2 linked regions of the Diceros bicornis minor genome follow. The protein of the gene in region 1 binds, or shares a complex with, the protein of each later gene. Links are inferred from orthologs where the notes say so. Each region holds a gene or a part of one and is shown on either strand. Other genes may lie near its edges.

What was found.
Region 2: the proteins of TIMM10B (region 1) and TIMM10 are in contact, whole or in part, in a cryo-EM structure (PDB 7CGP), measured with the Homo sapiens proteins. The link is inferred for Diceros bicornis minor from reciprocal best matches to the Homo sapiens genes TIMM10B and TIMM10. Residues at the interface, in NP_036324.1 of Homo sapiens: Gln7, Leu11, Leu14, Arg15, Phe17, Leu18, Leu19, Tyr21, Asn22, Arg23, Met24, Thr25, Glu26, Cys28, Phe29, Val33, Pro34, Ser35, Leu36, His37, His38, Arg39, Leu41, Glu46, Leu49, His50, Ala53, Gly54, Ile57, His61; in NP_036588.1 of Homo sapiens: Ala6, Leu9, Leu13, Glu16, Met17, Asp20, Met21, Arg24, Ala28, Lys32, Cys50, Asp52, Arg53, Cys54, Ser56, Lys57, Tyr58, Asp60, Ile61, His62, Glu63, Arg64, Met65, Gly66, Lys68, Leu69, Leu72, Asp76.

Annotation. Positions count from the first base shown.
Region 1 is NC_080746.1:64,546,149-64,555,097, forward strand, and holds TIMM10B (mitochondrial import inner membrane translocase subunit Tim10 B), read left to right. Parts: upstream 1-5,429; 5' UTR 5,430-5,465; coding exon 5,466-5,501; intron 5,502-5,701; coding exon 5,702-5,797; intron 5,798-5,964; coding exon 5,965-6,141; 3' UTR 6,142-6,872; downstream 6,873-8,949. Other genes in the region: ARFIP2 (arfaptin-2), read right to left, coding at 1,032-1,187, 1,632-1,806, 1,953-2,110, 2,656-2,877, 3,056-3,174, 3,894-3,990, 4,251-4,349. UniProt on the Homo sapiens protein: Component of the TIM22 complex, a complex that mediates the import and insertion of multi-pass transmembrane proteins into the mitochondrial inner membrane.
Region 2 is NC_080770.1:16,394,124-16,403,034, forward strand, and holds TIMM10 (mitochondrial import inner membrane translocase subunit Tim10), read left to right. Parts: upstream 1-5,339; 5' UTR 5,340-5,437; intron 5,438-5,868; 5' UTR 5,869-5,913; coding exon 5,914-5,984; intron 5,985-7,237; coding exon 7,238-7,439; 3' UTR 7,440-7,672; downstream 7,673-8,911.

The sequences.
Region 1 (8,949 bases):
TAGTTGCCTGGTTACTTGTCTCTATCCCCCACTAGGCCATAAGCACTGTGGGCAGGGACCGTGTCTTATCCACTGATGTTTCCCTAGGGTCTAGCGCAGTGCTTGGCAAATAAAAGCACTCAGTAAATATTTGCTGTATGAATGAATGGATGATGAAGGTCAGCGGGCCCAACCCCCTCTGGGCCCTGTGCTTTTAAGATCCATAGCTATCTTGGTGCTGGCCTAAAAGGCAAATAAAGCGTTGGCTGCAACTGGGCTGGGGGAGGAATGAGCCCTCAGACTGTTCCTGAAACATGTGACTTCAGCTTCTGGCCTCAGCTCTTCCAACTCGATAGGATTTTGGTGTATGATTAGACTGAGCATTTTTCCACCTAGCCCACCCTCCTAGAGTCCCCCACAAATTGACCTCACTGGGCCTGCTTTTATGAAAGGTTTATTCCTAGTGCTAGGGCCCAATCTTCCAGGGCTCTAAGCACAATTAAACTGGGTGGGTAGATGAGGGGAGGCCCATTCAGATGCAGGGCCAGAAATGGGACTCCCCATTATCCCCACCCCTTTGGTCCCTGTCCCTTTCTCTGCAATGGACACGCATAGAGGAGGGACAAAGGGTACTGGAGGCAACATCATTGGCCCAGGGGAGCCCAAGAAGAGCTGCCATTGGCTGACAGGGCCTTTTGAGGCTCTGCCATTGGTCAAAGGGCACACCCCCAGGAGCTAGGGATAGGCCTGAGGAGTGATGCCATTGGCCAGGGAGTGATTTTGTCACAGCCTTTGGCTGTGGAGTAGAAGAAAAAGATCTGGGAATGAAGCCCAGTGGCCAGGAAGATAAAGGACAGGGCAGCAGCTGCTGGGCCTGCAGGCCCCCTCCGTACCCACAGCAGTGTGGGCAAAACTGGTGTCAGGCCCCAGCCAGGGAAAGGGAACCCAAGCCAGAGGGCAGGTGGCAAGGAATGTCCCATGTCCAATCTCCCCCACCCTAGGACTGCCCCTCCCAATGTCCTTCTTGATAGCCAGGTTGGGCTGGGAGCAGCTCACTGCTCCTCTAGCCAGGAGGGCTTCTCAGCTCCAGGAGGCCGCAGCTTGATGTTGAACTGCTGCAGGGTCTGCTCCAGTTGTTTCTGGTTCCCAGCAAAGTAGGCTGACACGGCATTGTGGAAGAGCAGCAGCTGCTTGTGCATCACCTTGATCTGGGGGTCCAGCAGAGCCAGCTGAGAATGGACTCAAATGCCCTTCTTGAGGGACTACGAGCCTGAGCCCAGACTAGGGGCACATGGACTCTGCTCTGATGGTGCTTTTGGGGTGGGGGCTGAACTCCAAGGGAGTCAAAAGTTAAGGGTCAATCCGATGGGAGAAACCTGACTTGATCTACTGGACCTGGGGTTCTGGTACCCCAACTCAGAGGATGATTTCTCCCAGTTACATTCCTGGGATCAGCAGCCAAATCCTCCAACAGAATAGGGCCAGGGATCAGAGGGAGGGTGATCAGAAAGGACCAGGGGCTGAGGGGCCTAGGGGAAGATCCCACTCCTTAGCCAGGCTGCATTTCCCCATCCAGTGATGGGGAGGGTCTGGGGAAAAGGTCAATGTTACAGACAGAAAGGTGGGCTGGGTCAAAGGGGTGGGGTTGGCACCTTGTTTTCTTCCAGGAACTTGAGCTTGATGGCCACATCTCCCCGCAGCTTCTCATATTTGTCCCGATGGGCCTGGAAAGTGGCCTGGGCACTCTCGAGTCGACCACGGGTCGCTGCATCCCGAGGGCCTAGGCTCAGCTCCTCTAAGTCTGTTCGGTAGGCATCATATTCCAGCCTGGGGAGGAGGTGATATAGGCTGGTCTCCACCCCTTTGTCCTCCACACACTCTTCTTTCATTCTTCAATTCTTATGCCCTTAAAGCTCAAACTTCCACCCATGCCAGCCAACTCCCCAAACCCTAGGCCCTGCCAGTGCCCACACCTGGCAGCCTCATACTGTTTGACAGTCATGAGTGTGTCTTCCATGGTCTTGGTCACCAATGTGTTGATGCTAGAGACAAAGAAGTTCACAGCCCCTAGCAGTGTCTCTCCATTCTTGCACAGCAGCTTCTGCGTTTCCGCATTGTAGCCAAATTCCTCCTGAGGGCAGAAGGGAGGGGGCAGGCCTTGAGTAACAGTCCCTACCTGACCAGAACTGTAGAGCCCTTCATTCCCCTCCTCCCCAGGGAGGAAACAGCCATGGAAACTGGAACAGTCAAGGACTGCCTCCAGCAAGGCTCTTAGCCAGAAAGTTAGTGGGGCCACCCTGGGGATACCTAGGGTAGGAATGTCGGGTTGGGGTTCTCAGATAAGTTCACAGGACTAGAACAGGGAAAGCTAGTGCAGCAGGCAAGGGAGGGGCTCCAATTAGGCTGAGCACCGAAGGCATTCTCACCTATGCAGAGAAGGGTTACTTGTGGGGCACCTAATGTGCTGCCTCCCCCACCCACTCCGACTTCTGGACCTCTGTACAAACCCTTAGGCTGACTCCACAGGTGAGTGCTGTTGGGGGTAGGGCTGGGCCCACCCTGGAGGGGTTCTCCCTCTGGGCTGCAGGGAGGGAGTGAGGGAGGGAGGCTGAGGGGAGACTGCCTAGGAGGGCCTGGGCCCAGTCCCCCCCACCCTCTTTGGCCTGGCTGAGGCACCTGAAGCTCTGGGGACTTCTGGCTGAGGTCAGCAAAGGCATCACCTAGTGCATGCTGGGTCTGCAGCAGGCTGTAGAGGTGGGCTGTCAGTGCCCGGCCCAGCTGCAGGACACTCTCATACTTGCGCTTTGTCTCACGCAGCAACTCAATCTGCAGCTCTAGCTCCAGGTCCACAGTCCGGGAGCCTCGGCCAAATCGCTCTGATAACAGCTGCTTTGTGCACTGAATGGGAAGTTGGGGAATAGGTCAGAGACCCTAGCACCCTGCCTCCCCAACAGGTATCTACCCCAGCATCCCCAGGCTCCTCGTCTTAGCCACAGATGGGATATTAGGATCTGGAAGGTGGGGAAAAGGTACTCAGGGGGAGTTTTGGGGGAAGGGAGAGGGGCTTGAATCCCACCTTATATGTGTTGATGCCCCATTTCTTGACAATGTCAAACTTCTCTCCAGCGATGCCCCGAGCCACCTCATCTCCAGGGCCAGCAGGAGTGGCACTGTGAGATGGATGGCGGCCAGACCCTAAAGGACCAAGGGTACAACCAGACACCTCTGTGGCTCCACCCACACTTCCCTCCCAGCACATGAAAACAGCTTCTTTGAAGGAGTGGAAGCTAGACACAATTAGATTCACCTACTCACTAGGAGGAACTCATATCTCGGGCCCTGAGACCCAAATCCCAATATATATCTGGCCTCCTTCTGAGGTGGTGGAGATTGGATGGGGAGGGGAGAGGGAGTTGCTGGTGTACAGGGGCAGAGGAAACAAAAGAAAATATGCTGAGTATGGGGTGGCAGGTCAAGGATGGTGGGTCTTGATAACAGGAAACCTGGTTGACACGCTCATGTGGAATCCTAGTCAGTGAGAGATTCAGCGCTGTTTGTTCCTCTAAATTTTAGAGTCTAACGTAAAACTCTGAGAAGCTCACAGAGTTCCAAATCAGCCTCATGCTCCAGAGCACGGGGAACTCCTGTGAAACAGAGTTCTTAACTTGACTCAAGTGGTGGCAGCAGAGAAAGGACAAATGGGCGCATCTCAGGGGCTAAATGGCAAGTGGGAGTAGCTGAACAACACTGGTAACTGGCCTTGGGCTGAGGAGAGTCCATAGGGTTCATACTAGCAGAGGTTCCCAAGATCTCTGGACATAATTCAAGCTTTCTTAGATATATACTACACTCCCCAGAACCATTCCTCTCCCCCTCTCCACTCAAGCTTCTTGGCCTGTTCTGATCATTCATACCTGTGGGGATGAGTCCATCACCAGAGCCCCCATAGCCACCAGACACAATGCTGGTTTCATTGAGATTGGGTCCTGACACCATCACTTGCTGGAGGTCCTATAGGCCAGAGAAGAGGGGGGCTTCAGGAACATAAGGGCAGCTGAAGCATTTTGGGGATGAGAATAAGCTTGGATTGAAGCATCATAGAGAGAGTGCACAAGGGAAGTCTGCACAGAATCAGAATGAAGATTTATAAAAAGATTGAAGGGAGTTAGATAAGTTAGGGGAAGCCTACTGGAATAGGGGGTCAGAGCCCAGGGTTTATAAATTAGGATTCCTAAATTGAAATATTACGGAGAAGAAGCAAACAGAAGCACCTGCTCCAGCCCATCATCCTCAGGAAGCTGCCCAGCTTCGCCGTTGCCATGGATGGGGATCTCCATGGTGGCTGCCTTCCCTAGGATCCCGTCCGTCATGGCTAGGGAAGGGACTGGAGTCAAAGTCTCCACCCCAGCGCCCTGCAAAGCCCAACAGAGACAGTTCTGGAAACTGGCCAGTACTACAGAAGAGGAAGGTATCCCCTGCCATTCCATAGGTTTGAGAGGTTGTTCCAGGGCTTGAGTGTTCTGGGGTTTGGCCACTACTCCTTTCTTCAGGCATGTATTTCTCCCCTCCAAGGCGCATATTTTTACACATTCATACTCAGGCCTCAGGTGTCTTCTCATGACTCCCAACCCCACCAGGACTCTATTGATCATTCATGCATTCAATCATCCAACAGACATTTAATGAGTGCATACTATGTGTCATGCACTATTTGAGGCAACGGAAATACAGTAGCGAACGAGACAGACAAAGTCTGTGCTTTCTTGGAGCTTATCCCCATGCAGGTGTTTCCCCCCATGAGGAGAAGAACCCCTTTCCAGAGCTCAGGTGCCTAACCCCCATTCAGGTATGTTCTCCATTGCTTGGCCTTTCACACTCTTTTAGTGTTTGTTCCCCTTTCCTTCAGGTGGTCTCCCCCTCCTCCATGCCATGCACCTCCTGCCCTACACCCAGGCCTTAATTGAATCAGTTGGTATCTGTTCTTGGCCTCTGAGAAAAGCCTCTTTTTCCCAGGATATAGGTGATCCCTTTCAAAGTCAGTTATGTCGCTCCAGGTGTGTGAATGCCCGCCCCCCCCATACACCTGGGCATCAGGTGTGCCCTCATCCTTCCTCAGGGCTCAGAGGCACCTTGCCCTCAGGACAGGCTTGTGCTTTCAACTTCCCCTTGCCCAAGTACGTCCCTCTCACCTCGGGCCGGGCCGCTCTTCCCCTCAGGGCGCCAGGCCCGGGCGGCGCGGGGACCTCGGGTTCCAGTTCCCGTCGCGATCCTAGCAGCAGGTCAGGGACTCGGCGGAAGTGACGTCCTCTCCCGGGCAGAAGAAGCCGGCCACGTCGCAGATTATAAGGGCGGAGGTGACGTTGGCAGCCGGGGGCAGGGCGATCCTTGAGCCAACTCCTCATTCCTTGGGGAGCTACGAGAGCTTACTTCCGGGGCGTTACCGAGAAGCTGTAACGGAAGTGACGTAGCCGCGCGCCGGCGGCGTGATGGAGCAGCAGCAGCAGCAGCAACAGCTGAGAAACGTGAGTGGGAGCTCAGTCGCTGAGGGGGTATACTTTCAGCTGGCATCCACGTCCGCGTGGCGGGAACCCCAAAGAGCCAGGGGTCCGAGGGCTGGAAACGTCGGGCTGTGGTGCTCGGTGCTGGGAAACCGTGGGCGGCGCGGCTTGAATTGAGATGCGGGCCCCCTTGTCTCTGAGTTCTTGGTCTCCTTTTCTCCCAGTTACGGGACTTCCTGTTGGTCTACAATCGCATGACGGAACTCTGCTTCCAGCGCTGCGTGCCCAGCCTGCACCACCGAGCTCTGGATGCTGAGGAGGTGGGGACCTGAGTAGAGAGGGTAGGCTGCTCCCTCCTTCCCTCACTTCCCCCATCTCTGGCCCTGGCCTTTCCACGACCCCTTGCTCCTAGGCTGGGGATGGGAAGGAAGGAGACGGACCTGACAGGACACCTTTGGCCTCTACTTCCACCCTGTCTTCCTTCCAGGAGGCATGTCTGCACAGCTGTGCTGGGAAGCTGATCCATTCCAACCACCGCCTCATGGCCGCTTACGTGCAACTCATGCCTGCTCTGGTACAGCGCCGCATCGCAGACTACGAGGCTGCCTCAGCTGTGCCAGGTGTTGCTGCTGAACAGCCCGGAACCTCGCCATCAGGCAGCTAGCCATCCCCAACCCCAGGAAGGGAGGCGCTTGATGGACCCTCAAATTGAAGGAGCCAGTAGACCTTGGGCTGGGTGCGGCCTGTATAGAGAGAGAGTTGCTTGAGAGCTGGGTGCCATTGCTCCTTTTCCTGGAGCCAATAAACCCGCTTTTACTCTGTTTCATTTATATTCTGGGCAGGGAAGCTTTGCCCACTTTATTGGGACCATGCTTTGTTTTGTCAGTTAGTGCATATCTGCTGGCTTCAGCCCTGGCAGGTGGGAAATTGCCTTCTATGTCTGGAAGGAAAACCTCAGCATTCCCAGGCAGCTGGTTAAAGCAAGGTCTGTGGGTATAGTTTTAAGGTTAATAATAGCAACAGGAAGTTGGTTTCTGCCCAGAAGACAGAGAAAATGGGAGCTCTCTCTAGTTGTCCTTAACTTAAACCTCTCTGACTTAAACGGCCCACTTTTGAGCCAGATATGCGTTCCTTCATAACTGTTTTTTCATGGACTGTGTCTTACAAGAAGGAATTTTGCCAGATTTAGGGAAAGGAGGCAGTATCTAAGGACAACAGATCAAGAAACCACAGGGCTTTTAGGCACTACCTTCTGGGAAGTCAGTAGCCCCAGGACAGAGATGAAACCTGTAAGAATTTTGGGGTTTTCCGGAACTTCCACCATTTCTTCAAGTTGTTACTTTGTTACTATTTTGTGTCTTCCCTGGATGAGCAGTAAAACCTTTAAACAAAGAAGGTCTATATGCCTTGTCTTCAGGGGCAGTCAGAAAAGGGAAAACTTGGGGGACTGTATTCTGTAATACAGTCAGACTTGAAGGAGAGAAATCTAAGGGAGAAATAGATGGTGGTGGTTATGGGAAAAAACAAGGATAAAGCGAAATCTTTGGGACCTCTTTAATATTACCTTAATGTCTCACTGCTTGTCTGTAATCTAATTCTAGCTCCCCTAACTTCTACCCCACCTTGTTCCCACTGTACCCATTCTGTGATTTCTAATTCCATCTTCTACATTCTTTTCTCATTATTGGCCCTCTTGTGGAGTTTACTTCTGTACTTAGCAGTCTGAATGGCACTCCATCAACACATTTTCTTGCCACCCTTGTGTCCTTTTTGTGTCATTTCAGCTGTTTTATCTTTTCTATTCCTCATTCAAGCCGTTAGAGGAAAACACAGCTGTGTAATGAATGCCACTAAATGTTCAAGGTCTGCAACCCCAACCAAGCCCTCACTACCAACAAGCAACCCTGTATGAGTTCCTGGTCTATTCCCTCTCCTAATCAACATGGCAGTGATTTTACACCTTCACTGCTCTCCTTAATCCTCCACCTCACCCTCAACTATCCCCCATCAGGTGAACACGTTTCATTTTTTACAGAGGAAATGGAAGCTCTTAGACATTAGTTCCCAGAATAATCAAAAACTCCTTATGACCACCCACAAAGCAGATGTTCTCTCTTCTCTACGGATCAGGGAGGTGAAATTCTCCAGTAGCAGACTCTGTATTAAAATGCAGATCTGACTTTAAAATCCATGTGCTTTTTACTACACTAGGCTGCCTCTCAAAGTAATACCTATTGAGCACCCAGTTTGTATAGGTTCTGATGTTGGTATATGTTATGCTTTATCTTAGTTAATCTTTACAACAAAACTATAAGTAAGAGGTATTATCCCCACTTGACAGATGAGGAAGCAAGAATCCAGAATGTACCAGAAGCCCATCTTATACAGTTACCTATTAAGAAGAGTGGTTGCAATCAGCTTTTTGCCTCCTTAGCTGCTGTCTCTTGAACAGAAAAATTTATTAGGAACGTAAAAGTTGCTGAGCAGGAACTTTCCTATTGACTGGCTTCATGTCTACCCAATAAAATTCTGTCCTTGGAAAGTATAAATGCAAGTAAACCATCTTTTGAATTTACCAATTCCCAGAGATGGGAATGAGGCCCTGGGATATTGTGCTGCTGGTGGGAGAATTCTTCTACATTAACATTTGTGTGTATCCTTGCAGTAAACTTCCCTTGTGAATTATCTGTGTTTCCAGGTCACATAATTAGTAATTGCTGGAGCAGGGCTAGGAACATAGATCTGTCTGACTCTAAAGCCTATGTTCTTTGAAATTCCACAGTTTATATTTGCTTGCTCATCTGCACCCATCCAGTCCTTAGGCATGGAAAAACAAGTGGCCCTCAATCTGATCCATCAATTAGTCCCTTAAATTTTCAATCTTTTCTGTCCTGGTTCTTGCTCCTATTTATAAATATGTTTGATACTTAGAAGTACCTTATTCCTACCATCCATCTTCCATAGTTGTGGAAATCTCGCCCTTAGGTCTTGCCATAAACCGTAGTCATTGGCATAATGAGAGCAATGGTGATGTCTCAAGTACAACACAAGAATAAATGTTGACAAAGCTTTATCCCTTTATCACAAACATTGGAAACAGCGTTGGTGTTCCCACCATTGCGGCTTTAGAACTTAACTGCCCACTCATTTGCAAAGACTGATTCCTTTGAGACTATTCAACTATACCACTATCTCTCATTACTTGTTCTTAGTAACTACCACTCTCCTATTTCCTCTAAATAGCTATCCCTTGGTCTTCATATCCACCCCTTGGTGCTTTAATGTTTACATGGACAGTCCATTCAGTATTTTGGTCTCTTAATTCCTTGACCTAATCTCCAATGATTTCCAGTCTGTCTTAGCCAGCCACTCCCTTAGTTATATCCTAGCCATCGTCATCAGCCCAAACTGCTCCATCTTCAAAACACTGTTACTTGCATCTTACTCATTGACAATATTTCTTCTACTTTGT
Region 2 (8,911 bases), on another chromosome or scaffold:
CTACTCTGCAGGTGATCTCAAGTTGCCCAACACCCCAGGGCTGAACCCCTGACCTCTGACATCTAAAGAGGTTGACATAGTGGTGGAGAGGATTAGGAAGGAGCCTGGATTTCTCCAACCCAACCGCGGGGCTCTGCTTGGAGTCTCCGGCCCTTGGAAGGTGGGAAAGGGGTTGGCAGATGGAAGGGGGAACTGGGAAAGGGGCCCAGGGTATTTCCTACCTGTGGGGCCTCTGCCTGGGGGCTTGGGAGCTGTTTCCTTCCTCTAGCTGAGCGGCCTCACTCCCAGGCTGCCTTTAAGCCGGGCAGCCTCTAGCCCCCAGCTCTTCCTTCCCCGCCCCCCTTCCACCTTCCTCCCCCTCCCACCCCACCCCACCCCCACTTCAAGAGCCTTAGGCCACCGAAGAGCATTGTTTACTATCCTGTTGGTACAACACTTTCCCCTGGCCTGCGAGGCTCAGATTTCCCATAAAGATCTGACAGGTGGCACCTTTCAATCACAGCACGTCCCTCCCTCCCTGACCCTGGCAGCATCCGTCCTACGGTCATCTTTCTTCCCAATGTACTCGCCTGGCCCTGGCAACCCTGGAAACCATCTGCAGGCCCCTTTGGAGCATGGTCACCAGCACTCTGGCCTCCCCTGCCCTTCCAGAGCCCAGGCCAGGCCTCCTCTGCTTCCTTCATCCCCCAATTCCCCCATACTCCTTTAAATAGTCCCTTTTGCTCTTCCTCAGACAAAAGCAGCTGTTGAAGGGTGGGCTAAGGAGGGGGTGAATGGGACAGCTGCAGACTTGGGGGATGTGTCTCAGGGATCACACTGGAGAGAGATTTGGAGCGGGGAGGGGCAAAGAGAAGAGCCATGGCCCAAGTTGATGGGTCGCTGGGCTTAGAGTTCTAGAAAATACAAACCTGAGTTCTATTTTGAACTGAAGTGACTGGTACACAGTAGGCTCTGAACAAATTTTTATACTGAATTGAGATTTAGCTCTGAAAAAACAGAATAAATCTTTGCCTTCTCTATATGCCCTGTGATCTGAAAAAGGTACTACTTTTGGAGAATGTGTGCAAGGGACACCCCTACCACTGACAAAGCTTGTGACTCCCCCAACTGCCTTCCGAGGTCCCCACCACTTGAGCCATACTGGCCTCCTTCCTGTTCCTTCAACAAATTGATTCCTTTCCATACTCAGGACTGTAACCTTTTTGCTTCTGCTTATTGTGAGATGGGTTCCTTCTCATTCTTCTACTCTCAGCTCAAATTTCATTTCCTCAGAGAGGTCTCCATGACCTTCAGTTCCTCTCCATTATTTCAGCCTGTTTTATTTTCTTCATAATATTTATTGGAATCCAAAATTCCCTTATTCATTTCCTTAGTATCTGACTCTCTCACTAGACTCTAAGCTCCATGAGAATAGGAATTTTAGCTACCATGTTCATGGCTATGTGCTCAGGGCCTAGCCAATCGCCTGGTTCATATGAGGTGCTCAACAAATATATATTGAATAAATAAAATAGCTAATAGAAATATGGAATAGGAACTTGGGGCCTATGCCTGGGATGATCTGAAAGCCAGGTCTGGGTACCAATGGTTGAACAGTCCGATATTGATGGTTACCAGATGTCTCCTTCACCCATCTAGAGTTTATCTGCCCAACATTGGTGAGCTTTTCCACACATCTCTCTGGCCTGCTGTTCTATCTGACCACCCCACTATCTGACCCCTTTGAATCCAGCACTCTCCTTAGAGGGCCCCCGAGCTCCCACCCAGCTCTGCCATCCATGGCTCTGGCTTACTCTGCCGTGGAGAAGGCCCGGGTGAAGTTGTGCCGGCGCTACATGGGGTCCAGCACAGAGTAGTCAAAGGCACTGGGGAAGAATTTGTGGATGAGGGCGCAGAAGGCCATGCCACTGCTCCAGCTTGAGGAAAAGTTCTGGATGTCCACGTGCTGTGGGCAAGTGGGGCCCAGAGCAGGCCTTGGTGAGCCTCAGGCCAGGGGGCCTGGACTTTGCCCCTCTGAGTCTCCTTCCCTCTGGGCTTTGTACCACTCAGACCCTCCCCAGCACTACTGCCCTGGGGAAAGGTCCCCTGCCCCACCCCTATGTCCCTGTTCCAGCCTCACCTCGTATTTTTTTGTCATGGCCCGGCATGAACTGAGGTGGAGAAACCAGTCAGGAGACTACTGCAGTAACCCAGCAAGATGGTGGTGGCTTGGACCACAGCATCAGCAGGGCAGGTGAGGAGAAGAGATGCGAATGGTAATAGTGGATGACAGTGATTAAGACCGTGCCAGCCTTCTTTTCTAGCTAATAGAATAACCATTCTGTTCCAGCCAATGGTGTTCTTATTCTCTCATCTCCTGCTCATCTCAGGGAAGTCCACCTAGGCTGTCTCTCATGAGTGGTCAGGGCCCATATGCGATCCTAGGTGACAACGCTCCATCCCTTCCTCTGGGGTATGGTCTCACCCAAGAGGATAAGACTGACTCATGGTGAGTAACAAATACACAATCCCCCTCTGGGAGGTTGGGAGGCTGGGAATGGGGAGAACACAGCATAGAATGAGGGACCAGAGCTTCAGCATGGTCCTGACAGAGGTCAGCAGTTTTGGATGATGTATCTGGATTCCAAAGAGATCTTGGAAGGCTGGGGCTGTATAAACTGTCTTTTACAAGAAGAAACTTAACAGGGACAATTGGAGACTCCTACTTAAAAGGTCCTCAAATCTCCAACTGTATAAATATAGGAAGGAAAAGATACAGTCTCATAGTAGATGGTAACAATAACATCATCATCAGTAAGAACAATGATTTCCCAGGTGGTGAGGGGAGGGGAAAACATGGAGTTGCTGTTCAATGACTGTAAAGTTTCAGTTATTCAAGACGAATAAGTTCTTGAGATCTGCTGTACAACATTGTGCCTACGGTTAACAATATTGTATTGTGCACTTAAAAGTTTGTTAAGATGGTAGATCTCATGTTAAGTGTTCTTGCCACATTAAAAAAGAGACAGTTTTGAGAAATTGGGAGAAATTGAATATATGCATTAGATTATATTAATAAATTACCATAATTTTGAAAATGGCATTGTGGAAAAAAGACTTTATCTGTTAGAAATAAAAATAGATGAGGAAAATATGGCTAAATATTAACAATTGTTAAATCCTGATGATGGGTATGTGTAAGTTCCACATACTGTTCTCTCCTCTTTTCTGTATGTTTTAAGTTAGCCCTAATAAAAGTCTAAAAATAAAAAAAAAAGAACAATGATTTGTATTGAGCGTCTGCCATGGACTGGGTGCTTTAAGTACATTATCTTTTTTGTAATGATTTGTTAAGCTTTTTATTTTGAAATGATTATAGGTTTACAGGAAGTTGCATAAATAGCACAGAGAGGGTATTGAAGGTTAAATCTTACTTAAGATTTATCCACTGAAGGTTAAATCTTACATAACTATATGCACTATCAAAGCCAGGAAATTGACATTGGTAGAATGGTGTGTATAGTTCTATGACATTTTATCACATGCATAGATTTGTATGAACACCTCCACCATCACCACAAAGATCTCCTTTGGGCTACCCCTTTAAAGGCACACCTCCCTCCTCCCCTCACTAACTCTAACCCCGGGCAACCACTAATCTCTTCTCCATCTCTACAATTTTGTCATTTGAGAATGTTATTTAAATGGATATACAGTACGTAATCTTTCATAACACCTTTCATAACCTTTCATTCCTCTTGTAAGAACTCGTCTCCTTTTTCCATGCAATTTCTTAATATTCCATATGTTGACTATATTCTCAAAAGCAAAAACCAGGGCAACATATGTCCATTAAAACATATGTACGATAATATTGAAAGCAGCATTATCATAATAGCCCCAAACTGGAAACAACCCAAAAGTCCATCAACAGGAGAATGGATAAATGAATTGTGGCTTATTCATACAATCAAACACTAGACAGCAATAAGAAAGAATGAATAACAGACATGCATAACAATATGAATGAAATCTTACAGACTGCATTGAGTTAAAGTCAGGCAAGAAACAGAAAATCATGTATAATTCCATTCACATGAAGTTCAAGTGTAGGCAAACCTAATTGAAGATGATAGAAGTCAGAATAGCTGCTAACTGCAGGAGAGGGGGTGTTGACTGGGAAGGAACCTCAGATAACTTTTTAGAGTTCTAGAAGTATTTTGCATCTTGATCTGAGTGGTGGTTTTAAGAATGAATATACCTTTAAAAATTAAGCTTAAGATTCATGTATTTTACTCACTTTGCTGTATGAATGTTATACCTCAATTTTAGTGTCAAGTTACAGACTTTGACAAAGATGAGCCCTTAGAGCAGAAATGAGGCCCAGTGATGAAAATCGGACTTTCTTGGGCAATTAGGAAAGCATATGGTGACCAATCACATAAAGTGTCCAGCCTACCTTCTCCAACGGGCAGTGTACCCTTGCATCATTAATCTGCATCTTCTAAATTTCGTTTATTGGGAAATCTCTTGAAAAATCAAGGGTTGAAGCAGGTTTTTTTGTTGTGGGGGAAGTGCAGATCGAGGGATACATTGTCTTGAAAGATGAAGAGTTCACAAGCACCCTCTTTCTTTCTCACCCAGATGTACTAGGTTAGCTCTAATGGCAGCCAAAATTGCTTCTATTCATCTCTTTATGGCCCAGGGCGTCTAACAGAAGTCGAATAAAACACTGTATACACGTCTCATCTTTCTGCAAGCAGGAACTGTGCCTTGCTTATCTTTGCAACCCCAAAGAAAGCTTAGTGACCCACACACAGCTGTATTCACACAGTCCCTTGGAGCACTGGTTCTTAAACTTGGCTGCACATAGGAATCACCTGGGTCCTACTCCCAGAGATTCTGAATTAACTGGTATGAGGTGAGGCCTGGGCATCGAGATTTTTTACAGCGTCCCAGGTGACCCTAATATGCAGCACAAACTGAGAACTGCTGCTTGGGGGCGTTCCTTCTTCTCCACGCCTGATTTGTGCTCAGGCGTCAGCTCTCTGGAGGTGAGGGAGAGGTGAGGGCGAAGTTCACTGAGCTCTGTCATCCGGCCCCTTTCTACAGAACCAATAGACTCAAACCTTTCCGCGGCAACCCGGCCGACTTGACAACAGGGAGTGCGGGCGCTCTGCGCCCTGCCCAAGCCTCTATGGTGTTTTGGCGTCCCCTCTAGCATTTGCAAATCGCCTTCGCCTTCAGTCGCGGCCGGCCGCTCTCTATGGTAGCCGATTTCCCAGCGCCGCCTCCTTGGTCCTTCATTCCGGAAGCCAGTCTGGATCAAAGAGGCGGGACTTCCCTCCCGGAAGTGACCCACGTGCTTCCGTTTTAGTCTCCCGGGGCGCCCGGTGAATTTCTAGTGTTTGGGCGAAGTTGGGGACACCGAGAGTATTGTGACCGGCCACAGGCCGTGGTGAGTGACCATCAAGGTGACCTTGATGATGGCCCCGCCTTTTCAGGGGTGAGGCCCCTGGGCCGGGGCCCGGGCGCGTTAGCTTGGCGTATGATCGGATTCCCAGCGCCCCAGAGGTTCAGGCCAGCGGTTTAGAGGGTTCGGTTCCGGTCTTTCGATCTGCTCCTGGGTAGAGGTGACCTCGAGGGACTGGGCGTCAGGGCTCCGGGGCTTGATTTTCAGCCCCGCCGTTGACGTGCTGTGTGACCTTGGGCTAGGCAGTGTTCCCTTTCCGGGCCTAAGTTTCCACATCTGCGAAATGGGGTGGCTGAACTCACTGATGTCAGTGGCCCCTGCCGGTCTGATGCCTTGTGATTGCCCCGCATCCTCTAGCCTCTAGGATGGGAAAGTGAACGGGAGGGGTGGTTGCTGACGGTGATGTCTGCTCCCAGGACAAGGAGACCAGAAGGAGATCTCCTCGACGGTGCAGGGCTGAGATGGATCCGCTCAGGGCCCAGCAGCTGGCGGCGGAGCTGGAGGTAGAGATGATGGCTGATATGTACAACAGGTAAAAATCGACTCTGTGCTACCTTGTCTTAGAGATTGATCCTGGGTCGCCCATTCAGAGGGCAGAGGTGGATGACTTCTGAAAAATGCTTTCCTCCATCTAGGCCCGTGCTTACCACTGCCCGCACCCACTCACCCCCACTTTCCGTGGTTGAGGATTAATGCAGCCGCAGTATGGGGTCACTAGAACGAGTTGAGCATTTAGATTGGGATGGAATTGGCGATAAAGGAGCCGAGTGGGAAGTGAAGCTCCAGTCCAGGCTCTGGTTAGCTTCAAGAACAGTTGAGCATTTACCTGTTGACAAAGAGCCCGCAGCCCACTTAGTAGTTCATGTTTCTTAAACCCGGTCTCTACCTCAGGTGCTTGCTGAGCATTTTACACGCATTATCTTTTTTCATCTTCAAACTAATCCACTGGGTTAATTTTCCTTGTCCCATTTTAAGGTGAGGGCATCGAGGCTTCTAGAGCTTCAATGACTTTCTCAGGGTCCACAGCTGGTCAGTAGCAATGTCAGGACCAGTACCTCACTCTGACTCCAAACTAGTCCCGTAACCATTTGGCAAATGAGGGAACAAATCGTAGCTCCACCAGTCACCCCCAGTATGGTCTTGGGCAAGTTACTTGGACTGTTTGACCGGTGGTTTCCCCATCTATAAAATGGAGATAATAGTACCTACCTCGTAGGGACATCATAAATATTAAATGTAAAAACGTATGACAAGCTCTTAGCATCAAGCCCAACACATAGCAAGCAGTCAACTAAGGTTTGCTATTTTTATTGGCTTAAGCTCTCTGGTAGCCTCTCTTGATTAGTTGGTTTATCTTGGAGGATATATATTGGAATAATTTTTAAATGTAGGCTGTGAGGTCACACTACCTGGGTTCAGCTCCCGGCTGTATGGGAACCTGCGGCCCTCTGTGCCTTCAGTTCCTTATCTGTCAAATGGGGGTAATGGCCGTGCCTGCCTCGTAGGGTTATTAGAAGGATTGCATAACAGAATCCATGTCAGCTCTTAGCATGATGCCTGGAACGTAGCTAGTACTCAACTAATGGTTCTTCTTTAATTAGTCATAAACATGGGCTCAAACAAGGTTCCTCCTTTCAAGGAACTTTCAAGATGGTTGAGGTGCAAATTGAGGATATACAATACCTTCTTGGGAGGTGGAATCCGTACAGCAGGGCAGGAATGGTGGAGAGTTCCTGGTGCGCCTCGGGATGCTGCTAACCTGACCTTGCCCTTCCTTCCCCCTAGAATGACCAGTGCCTGCCACCGGAAGTGTGTTCCTCCCCACTACAAGGAAGCAGAACTGTCCAAGGGCGAGTCCGTGTGCCTGGACCGGTGTGTCTCCAAGTACCTGGACATCCATGAGCGGATGGGCAAAAAGTTGACAGAGTTGTCAATGCAGGATGAAGAGCTGATGAAGAGGGTGCAGCAGAGCTCTGGGCCCGCGTGAGGCCCCAGACAGAATACACCCCAAGGTGCACCGTGCCCCTTCCCACTTGTCTAATAAAAATGCCCGCACTGGGTGTCATCTCTGAAGACTGCCAGGCCTAGGCTCTCTCTGGAGAGTCTGCAGGAGACTGGAGTATGGTAGAGCTCTCTTCTGGTCGAAGAAGGGGTATTTGTCACACTGGAATGTGACTGTGTATGTGTGTGTGTATATATATTAAAGCAAGTTTGTTGACACCTACTGTGTGCAAAGCCGTGTGCCTGGCGCTTGGGAGTAAAGGCAGCAGACACAGCCTCTACCAGCAGAGGGAGTCTGATGTAGCGTTTAAAAGTATAGACTAGCGTGATGGCTTAGGTTAGCACCCCAGGTGGCCACTTGCTGTGTGACCCTGAACATGTCACTGCACTGTGCTTTAGCTTTGTCATCTGTAGAATGGGGATAATTATAGGGTTCCTGTGAGGATTAAGTGAGTTAATATGTGTAAGGCATTTAGAATAGTGACTGGGGCATAGGAAGTGCTCAGTGAGTATTAATTTTATATATATATGTTTAAATATCAACTTAAAATTTAGTGGAGGCAGGCAGGCATTTTCACAAATGATATAAAGGAATGATTTAGAAGAGAGGGTGAAAAGTAGATGGAATGTAAGAAGGAAGTAGCCAACCTCTTGGTTCTAAATTGCAAGACTGAAACATGTGAGGGGACCCAGCTTCTTGTGTGATGTGAGTGACCCTGCCTGGTAAGTGATCAGAGAGGGGACTGAGTGATGGCCACTGCCGTTCAGGCTCGCCTGGATCGGGACTGCGCTCCTCTTCGTATGACATCCAGTCTGACCTGCCTATCTGGGCTAAAGGTCCTAGTAGAAAATGGAGGCTCAGAGGGGTGGTTGCCTGTGGAGGGCACATGAGGGGAGCAATCACGTGGAGGCTGGGGCTGACTGCTGCATTTGCTATTTCGCTGGGGAGAGGCCACATCTCATTACTGTCCTGAGGAGTGCACTTGAATTGTGCAGCTTTCAGAATGTATGGATCTCTCACTCCAGGTGGGATTTTGGTTGACATCACTGCTGCTGGGATGGCAGTCCCTTCACATGGGTCTTCACGGTGGAAGGAAGTATCTGGGAGATAAACTCACCAGGTCATTGGGGTGGAGTAAAGGAAACAGAATAGAAGTATTGAGTTTGGGGCTCAAAAGTGCAGGTTGAAGCCAGACCGCCTGGGGTGAAATTTTCTAGCTGTCTGATCTTGAGTGAGGTTTTCACTGCCCTGTGCATCAGTTACCCCACCTATAAATTGGCAATAAAGGTACCTACCTCATTGAGTGGTTGTGAAAATTAAATGTGTTAATAGCTAAGCCCTTAGGAAAGTGCCTAGCTCTCTCACGTTAAGTACTCAATAATGTTAGCTTTTTTTTTTTTTTTATTGCTAAGTTTGGTGTGAAGAGACACCGGATAGGCCCTCAGGAAGCTTCAGAA